Mus musculus: one gene and its partner. The protein of the gene in region 1 interacts with the protein of each later gene in a biochemical or structural test. Links are inferred from orthologs where the notes say so. Each region holds a gene or a part of one and is shown in the gene's direction. Other genes may lie near its edges. The genes, in order: Fzd7 and Dvl1.

Region 1 (4,517 bases):
CAACCTTTTCCTAGATGGAGAAACTGTATACCAGAGGGAGTTACTTCTGCCGGCATTCAACATTCGACCTATTCAAAATCTCCTCAAACCCCAGCACCCAAGTGAGACAGGCAGAAGGACTCAGCCAGGAAAAAAACGTTTAAAATGATTGCAGAGACAGATTCAACGATTCAACTTGTCACTTTCCTGCATGGGAATTCATAGTATTCATGATATTTCTTGCTGGCTCCTGTGAGAGGGCAGAGGCCCCTTAGTAACTTCTGACCGGTCGGGGCAATCAGACAACGCGCACGAGCGCCCAGTGCCTGGAGCGGGGTTAAGATTTGACCAAGAACAAAAGAAAGCTTGCCAATCAGAAAATGCTACCCCACAAGGAAAATAACCCCTCTTTGTGTCTCGAAAGCCCTTTAATTAGCAAATGCCCTGCTTTCTAACGCGCGTTAAAACATTTCTATGTAGATTCCAAATGGAAAGATCAAATGGTTGCTTCTGCAACGAAGAAGGGGTCCCTGAAGGCCACACACCTCAGAAAAAAAAAAGGAAAACGGGGCAACCGAAGGCGCTCTGTAAATCGTACAGAGTTCCGAGGCCCTCGGTCTCAGGTTACTTTCATAAGCATTCCCCCAGAGCTGCCTTGGAGTTAAAAAAAAAAAAAAAAAAAAAAAAGAGCCTCTTGGGCTCCCCAGGCTCCCAGCAGTATGTCCGGGAGGGGTGGCAGGCTCGTGTGTGCAGCGGATCCCCAGCTCTGGGCCTTCTCCTCCGAGGGTCTGCACTTCCTCCCGCCACAAGTCCGCCCCTCGGCCGACTCGGGTTTCTCCCTCCAGGATGCCCCCCTTTTTTGTAACTGGGGGAGGGAGAGGGAATTGTGCCTTCACGTGGTCGGTTGGGGTAGGGGAAGAAAAAACGATTCTTAGTCGCACCCCTTTCTCGACTCATACTGATGCTAACCAAAATTCTCCCGCCCTCGCCTGCCAGGCAAGGCTAACGTGACTCCGGGTCACGTCTTTCTGCCCTGGTGCTGTACTATTCTCAGCTTCTCCCCAAAGCCTTCGGCGAATGCCCCCTTTTGTTCGGAAATGTGTATTTTAGGGTACCCGGAAGAGGAACCAATCTTACAGGCAAGTTCCCTTTCTGGTGCGTTTTTTTCTCCCTTGAGCAAATTCTGGGTAAAAGTTTTTCCTAACTTTTCTCTCAGTCCCCCGCCCCTCCCCTCAGGAATCCGCCCAGAGCTCTTTAAGCACCGCCTTCCTTGTTTCCTCGGCCGCCCCTTCCGACTTCCACCCAATCGGAACAGGTCCACAGAGAAAACAAAGCGCGCTATTGGATGTCCAGAGGGCTCGGGGCCCGCCCCCGGAGTGGTTTGTGAATGGGGGGAGGGGAGGGGGCGGGGCGGCCCGCAGCCCTGCAAGCCCGACGCTTCTTCTAGCCACCAGTGCGGCTCCCAGGCGTTACTCCGCGCTCCTTCCCTGGCGGGCGGTGCTGGACGCGGAGAGTCGCGGGCTGGGACTGCGCGGGGCAGGAGAGGCCGGGTGCAGGCAGGCCGCGGGTGCAGGGGCCTCGGCGCTTCGGATTCCGTGCAACTCCGTTTCCAAAACCAGCTTGTCCAGCTCTTACCTCCCGAGCACCGATCAGACTCAAAGCGAGAACGAGCCATTTGACTTGAAACTTGGGGCCGACCTTCCTAGGACTGAAGGAGGCTCCAGAATCAGAAGAGGCGGCTGCAGTGGCCCGCGGGGCCTCAAGGAGAGAAGGCGGAGCAGCACCACCGAGGCGACGGCCGGGGCGAGCAGGCAGGGACGCAGGGCGCTGGCCTGGCGGAGGCCTGGCTCGGTTTAGGGGACGTGCGTATCGGCGTGCGCCCGGGGCTCGAGAAACTTGGGCAAACTTTGAAGGGTAACCGGAGAAGCTTGTTGCTCGTCGCCGCAGAGAAAGCCGCACCGTTACGTCTCGGCGGGGAGGGTAAGGCGACACCCCTTCCCTCGATCCCCCACTCCAGGCCCAGGAGTTTGAACCTCCGGCGGCTGCGTGAGTGCCACGCGGAGGCGGCTGCGGCGCCCCCTCGGCTGGCGGCCTCGCCCCCGCTGTGCAGGCACCCTAGCACCCTCGGCTCCGCGCCGCCCACGGCCCGGCCCCGGCGCCGGGAGGACTCTCATGCGCCGGGCGCGGCGGCGCCTCCCTGTATCCAAGCCTCTCCCCAGCGCCTCGTCTTTTTCCTCCAGCTGAGAACGCCGCTGCACTCGCGACCGGCGATGCGGGGCCCCGGCACGGCGGCGTCGCACTCGCCCCTGGGCCTCTGCGCCCTGGTGCTTGCTCTTCTGGGCGCGCTGCCCACGGACACCCGGGCTCAGCCATATCACGGCGAGAAAGGCATCTCGGTACCGGACCACGGCTTCTGCCAGCCCATCTCCATCCCGTTGTGCACGGATATCGCCTACAACCAGACCATCCTGCCCAACCTGCTGGGCCACACGAACCAAGAGGACGCGGGCCTCGAGGTGCACCAGTTCTACCCTCTGGTAAAGGTGCAGTGTTCTCCTGAGCTACGCTTCTTCTTATGCTCTATGTACGCACCCGTGTGCACCGTGCTCGACCAAGCCATTCCTCCGTGCCGTTCCTTGTGCGAGCGCGCCCGACAGGGCTGCGAGGCGCTCATGAACAAGTTCGGCTTCCAGTGGCCAGAGCGGTTGCGCTGCGAGAACTTCCCAGTGCACGGTGCCGGCGAGATCTGCGTGGGGCAGAACACGTCCGACGGCTCCGGGGGCGCGGGCGGCAGTCCCACCGCCTACCCTACTGCTCCCTACCTGCCAGACCCACCTTTCACTGCGATGTCCCCCTCAGATGGCAGAGGCCGCTTGTCTTTCCCCTTCTCGTGTCCGCGCCAGCTCAAGGTGCCCCCCTACCTGGGCTACCGCTTCCTAGGTGAGCGTGACTGCGGTGCCCCGTGTGAGCCGGGCCGTGCTAACGGCCTCATGTACTTTAAAGAAGAGGAGAGACGGTTCGCCCGCCTCTGGGTGGGTGTGTGGTCAGTGCTGTGCTGCGCCTCGACGCTCTTCACGGTGCTCACCTACCTAGTGGACATGCGTCGCTTCAGCTATCCAGAGCGACCCATCATCTTCCTGTCGGGTTGCTACTTCATGGTGGCAGTGGCGCACGTGGCAGGCTTCCTGCTAGAGGACCGTGCCGTGTGCGTGGAGCGCTTCTCGGACGATGGCTACCGCACGGTGGCGCAGGGCACCAAGAAGGAGGGCTGCACCATCCTCTTCATGGTGCTTTACTTCTTCGGTATGGCCAGCTCCATCTGGTGGGTCATTCTGTCCCTCACTTGGTTCCTGGCAGCTGGCATGAAGTGGGGCCACGAGGCCATCGAGGCCAACTCGCAGTACTTTCATCTGGCCGCGTGGGCTGTGCCAGCGGTCAAGACAATCACCATTTTGGCCATGGGCCAGGTGGATGGTGACCTACTCAGTGGAGTGTGCTACGTGGGCCTGTCTAGTGTGGATGCATTGCGGGGCTTCGTGCTGGCGCCCTTGTTCGTCTACCTCTTCATCGGGACGTCCTTCCTGTTGGCCGGCTTTGTGTCTCTCTTTCGCATCCGCACCATCATGAAGCACGACGGCACCAAGACAGAGAAGCTGGAGAAGCTGATGGTGCGCATCGGCGTCTTCAGCGTGCTCTACACGGTGCCGGCCACCATCGTGTTGGCCTGCTACTTTTATGAGCAGGCCTTCCGAGAGCACTGGGAACGCACCTGGCTCCTGCAGACTTGCAAGAGCTACGCTGTGCCCTGCCCTCCGGGCCACTTCTCTCCCATGAGCCCCGACTTTACAGTCTTCATGATCAAGTACCTGATGACCATGATCGTGGGCATCACTACGGGCTTCTGGATCTGGTCGGGCAAGACCCTGCAGTCATGGCGTCGCTTCTACCACAGACTCAGCCACAGCAGCAAGGGGGAAACTGCGGTATGAGCCCCGGTCCTTACCCACCCTTGCCTCTTCTACCCTTTTACAGGAGGAGAGGCATGGTAGGGAGAGAACTGCTGGGTGGGGGCTTGTTTCCGTAAGCTACCTGCCCCCTCCACTGAGCTTTAACCTGGAAGTGAGAAGTTATTTGGAGGTGAGAAGAGATTTGGGGCGAGAGATGGTTTTGAGAGGAGGCCCAGATGAAAAAAGGCAAAGGCAGTGGCCGAAAAGACTTCTGGCTAAGACTTGCAGGACGATGCTAACTGTGAAAGATATGGACCGGCTAGGGCCTAAGGGAAAGGTTGAGACCAGCAGAGAGAGAGACTGGTGAGGTTTTCAGGCGCCAGAGATGAGCCAGGGCTGTGAGTCCAATCCCCTGCTGCAAGGCAAGTGGTTGTTCTCACTCTAGTGAAGGGGGGCTGGGAGGGGAGGGTGATACCGCTCTGTCTGTAGCCTAGGCTTTGTGGCCAAGATGGGGGGGACCTCCTGCGGTGCCCTTGTCAAGTGGTGGTCAAACCATAATCTCTTTTCACTGGGGCCAAACTGGAGCCCAGA
Region 2 (3,801 bases), on another chromosome or scaffold:
CTGATGCGATACCGAGTTTATTGCCTGGCAGTTGCTGCAGCCCCATCTCTTGAGAAAGAGCTACGTGAGCTAGAGGGAAGCAGGCAAGGGTAAGGGCTAGGAGCCCTGGAATCTGGGGTCCTCTGTACATTGGCAAATGTTCTGAGGGCTCCCTGTGCCCTGGTCAAGCTGCCTGGGGTCAGTGACTTAGCCTTTCTGTGCCTCCCTAGTATTTATTATGAGAGTCTAGGTAATTATCATGCATTCCCTGAGCTGTGGGGAAGGACTCTATGTTCTGGGGCTCAATGCCCCATGGGATGAGTTGGTAGAAGAGTGGCCAGCTATGGTCTGGGGCCTGTGCACACCTGCCAGTTCAAGTTCATGGGTAGTAAAACTCCTTAGGCTAAGAGTCCAGTCCACAACAATGCTTGGTAGGAATTGGATGCTCACTCCTGGTAGCATACAGAAGCCCCTTGAAGCTCAAGATATCTCCATGACCTGTGCCTACTTGCTCTGCCAGTCTCTGGCTCTGTGTGTATGGGAATGGGGCTATCTCAGGGCTGGGCCACTAGAGAGGTAGTCTGTGTGTTACTGTAATCTCCTGAAACCCTGGGTCCTTTTAGGCTAAGCTATGCAGGGCTCCAAAGGCCTTACTTTAGAGCAGATTTCTCCTTGAGGTGGATCACTGGGGGTGGCTGGTAGAGTCCAATGGCCACAAGGATCTCTCCAGGAATTCTAAGGTTGGGGCAAAATGCTCACAGGAGTGTCCTGAGTCACCGTGCAGAGTCAGTGGAGACACATTAAGGTCAGCTTTCCTCTTGAGAGGATAGACATACAAGGCTCAGGGTGGTAGGGATGTTTGGTTGTGCCTCATTCTGTTCTTGTTATACAGTGCCCAGCAGCTGTGGGTAGCATCACATACCTGTGGCCACCATTCCTGCTTCCACTATGGGTATTGTGATGTTTGCCCTTTGCCTAGCCAATGGTGGGGAAGGGCCAGGGTTAGCCCTAGGATCTGGGGCAAACACCATCCTCTCAGGACTGTCCTTTCCCTTTGGCCAGTCTTCTTGCTCTGACCCCTAGGTAGAAAGCAGGACTTGTGTTGCTCTGGCTGGGAGGAAGGGCCTTTCCCTGCTAAGAAGCAGGGCCTTTGAACCATAGAGGTATGTCTTTCTAGGGTTTGGGAGGCACAAAGACCGCAAGCTGGCCATATTACCTTAAGGGTCTGACTGAGTAGGCTCTGGCTGCTGGGAATGGGACACAGTGCCTGTTGGAGGAGCCAGGCAGGCCCTATTGTGGGTGCTAGGAATTGCTCATATGTTTCCCCATGGGTGAGTCAGGGAGGGTTGGAGCTTGGGTGTGCCAATGGGAAAGGCTTTTGGTGAGTCCACTTGGGGTCGAGGCTAGGGGATAAGGTGAGGGTTCTTTTCTGGGTAGATTACTCAGGGCTTTTAGCAGCGTCAGGTCTTCCTGTGATGACAGACTCTCTTGTTGGCTACCTTGGGCCAGGCTTGTAAATGGAGCAAGCCACAGAGCTGTAACTTGAAATTGGGAGAAATAGATATTAAGGGAGTCCTGAGAAGTGATTCTGTTCGCTGTTGGGGTCCCATGGGCACAGCAGTAAGGTCAGGAAAGCGGCTGGGACACTTTCACTTTCAGGCTGTCCAGCCTCTGCCATTACCTCAGCCCCAGGTCTCTAGCAAGTGGGTGGACAAAGGCCTTATTCCCTAGAGAGGATGGGATGTTGCCCTGCTAGAGCTTCCTGCAACCTGGTGTTGCCCACTGGTTCTGGAGCAGCAAGCAGAGGTGGCCCTGCCCCTGGCACTGGGCCCATTAAGTCACAAGCCTGCTTCCTGCCAGGTGCACTTCCAGGACCAGCCTGGTTTTCCAGCTCCACTCAATTCAAGTTTTAGGTATGGAAAATCCCACTATGTTAGGCGGAGCTAAGAGCTAGGGTGAAGGTGAGGGAGTGGAGAATCTAGGGCCTGAGGAGCCCCTTCAAGCCTGTCCTGACTGCTGTCCGTGCCTTGTGAACACTGCCCCCAGGCTCTGGCTTCCTTCCCAGTTCTCATTCCCTGCCTTTTGTATCTTGCTTGGGTGAGCTTAGCTCCTTTCTAGCCCATCTGACCAGGGAAGCAGCATGAAGACAAAACAGAGATGGCTGTGGTCAATAGGTACAGCCAAGGCTTGGCTAGCTCTGTCCCTAAATGCCCTTCCAGGTCCTCAGATAGAAGCCAAGCAAACTCCCTGATAGTTGGGACTGATCTTGCACATGAGATCCACTTTATCTTTCTGGCTGGGTAGATGGTTTTGAGGGCAGCAAGAGCTGGTATCCTTCTGGCCCTCTCACATCTATAGAAGGGGTTGGCAGTCCTTGTACCAGGAAGTCCAGCCTTCTCTGGGCTGGGGGAACTTCAGGAGCCCAAGGGCTTGGAGCACCATGAGATGCTCATCATATTAACGAGCGCCCGTGAGTGCTCCAGAGAGGCCCAGGGTGTGTGCTGGGAAGACAAGGACAGGAGGCAGTGGGCCTGATGGAAGCAGAGTGCACAAAATGCGGTTCCTCTGCAGCCCAATCTGAATGCAGGCCTAGGAGGCCAGGCTCCCTTCTGGAACGAGTTGGAATTGGAGCTTTTGTGGTACATGGTGGGATTTGGGGTGAGGGGCAGAGAAGAGCCATAGGCTGTCCCAAGCACCTGGCTAGGTAGAGCTGCTCTCCCTAAAATTTGAAGGCTGAGAAGAGTTCCCAAAGGAGCCCCAAGTGTCGTATATTGTGGTGAGGGAGCTTTTGGGTCCCCATGAGGAAGCATACAAAGCTAGAGACAGGCCTGATATAAACCCCAGGGCCAAGGAAGCCGAAGAACTGGGGACTTTCCCAGGAACCCTCAACCTTGTCTGACTCACCAAGGGCTGGAGGCTGACTCTGGACGTGAACAAGAGTTCTAGGATGTCCTTCCATGAACATTTATCTACATTTCTCTACCCCAGTGCTAAGGGTCAGGGCTTTGGGATTGGCGGAGAGCAGCAGAGTCCCTAAGAAGAGAATGTGGTAGGTAAAACCTCAGTGGTGACATCTGCAGCCTAGCAGGTGCTCCATTGCTACGTCCAAGAGTAGAAAGTGTCTCTTAATGTCCTTCATGGATCCAGGTGAGGTGACATAGGGCTTTGTTTGACCACAGGGTGGTGAAGGAGGAGATCTTCGATGACAATGCCAAGTTGCCCTGCTTCAATGGCCGGGTGGTTTCCTGGGTGAGTCTATGGGTGGCCCCAGCAGAATGGTGAAGGTGGGCTCTCCCTGGGAGACGTAAAGTAACTGGACAAAGGTAGGCAGCAGTGGGGTGCCTGTGGGGGTGGTCTTGACGCAGATGGCCATCCAAGGCCTCACTCTTCCTTCACAGCTGGTCCTGGCTGAGGGCGCTCACTCGGATGCAGGGTCCCAGGGCACTGACAGCCACACGGACCTGCCCCCACCCCTTGAGAGGACAGGCGGCATTGGGGACTCCAGGCCCCCCTCCTTCCAGTAAGGCCCCTTGCGGGGGCAGAGCTCTGCCATTGCTAGATACTTGCTACCCAAGACCCACCTGGGAAGAGTGAAGCTGACAACATAGCAGGGGCCTACAGTTGTGTGGGAGGCACCTTCTAGAACTAGGGTCCTGCCTGGGGGTTTGGGGACCTGGAATCATTTGAGGTAATGGCTGTCGGCAACCTGGTCTGCCCAATTCCACCTGCTTCTTATCTATGCAGTCCAAATGTTGCCAGTAGCCGGGACGGAATGGACAATGAGACAGGCACAGAGTCTATGGTCAGTCACCGGCGGGAGCG

Evidence for each region.
Region 2: the proteins of Fzd7 (region 1) and Dvl1 form a complex in vitro, tested with the Homo sapiens proteins (2 studies listed by BioGRID and IntAct, with this or other methods). The link is inferred for Mus musculus from reciprocal best matches to the Homo sapiens genes FZD7 and DVL1.

Annotation. Positions count from the first base shown.
Region 1 is NC_000067.6:59,480,711-59,485,227, forward strand, and holds the start of Fzd7 (frizzled-7 precursor), read left to right. Parts: upstream 1-1,436; 5' UTR 1,437-2,249; coding exon 2,250-3,968; 3' UTR 3,969-4,517. UniProt on the Homo sapiens protein: Receptor for Wnt proteins.
Region 2 is NC_000070.6:155,850,260-155,854,060, forward strand, and holds part of Dvl1 (segment polarity protein dishevelled homolog DVL-1), read left to right. Parts: intron 1-3,158; coding exon 3,159-3,228; intron 3,229-3,377; coding exon 3,378-3,499; intron 3,500-3,723; coding exon 3,724-3,801. UniProt on the Homo sapiens protein: Participates in Wnt signaling by binding to the cytoplasmic C-terminus of frizzled family members and transducing the Wnt signal to down-stream effectors. Plays a role both in canonical and non-canonical Wnt signaling.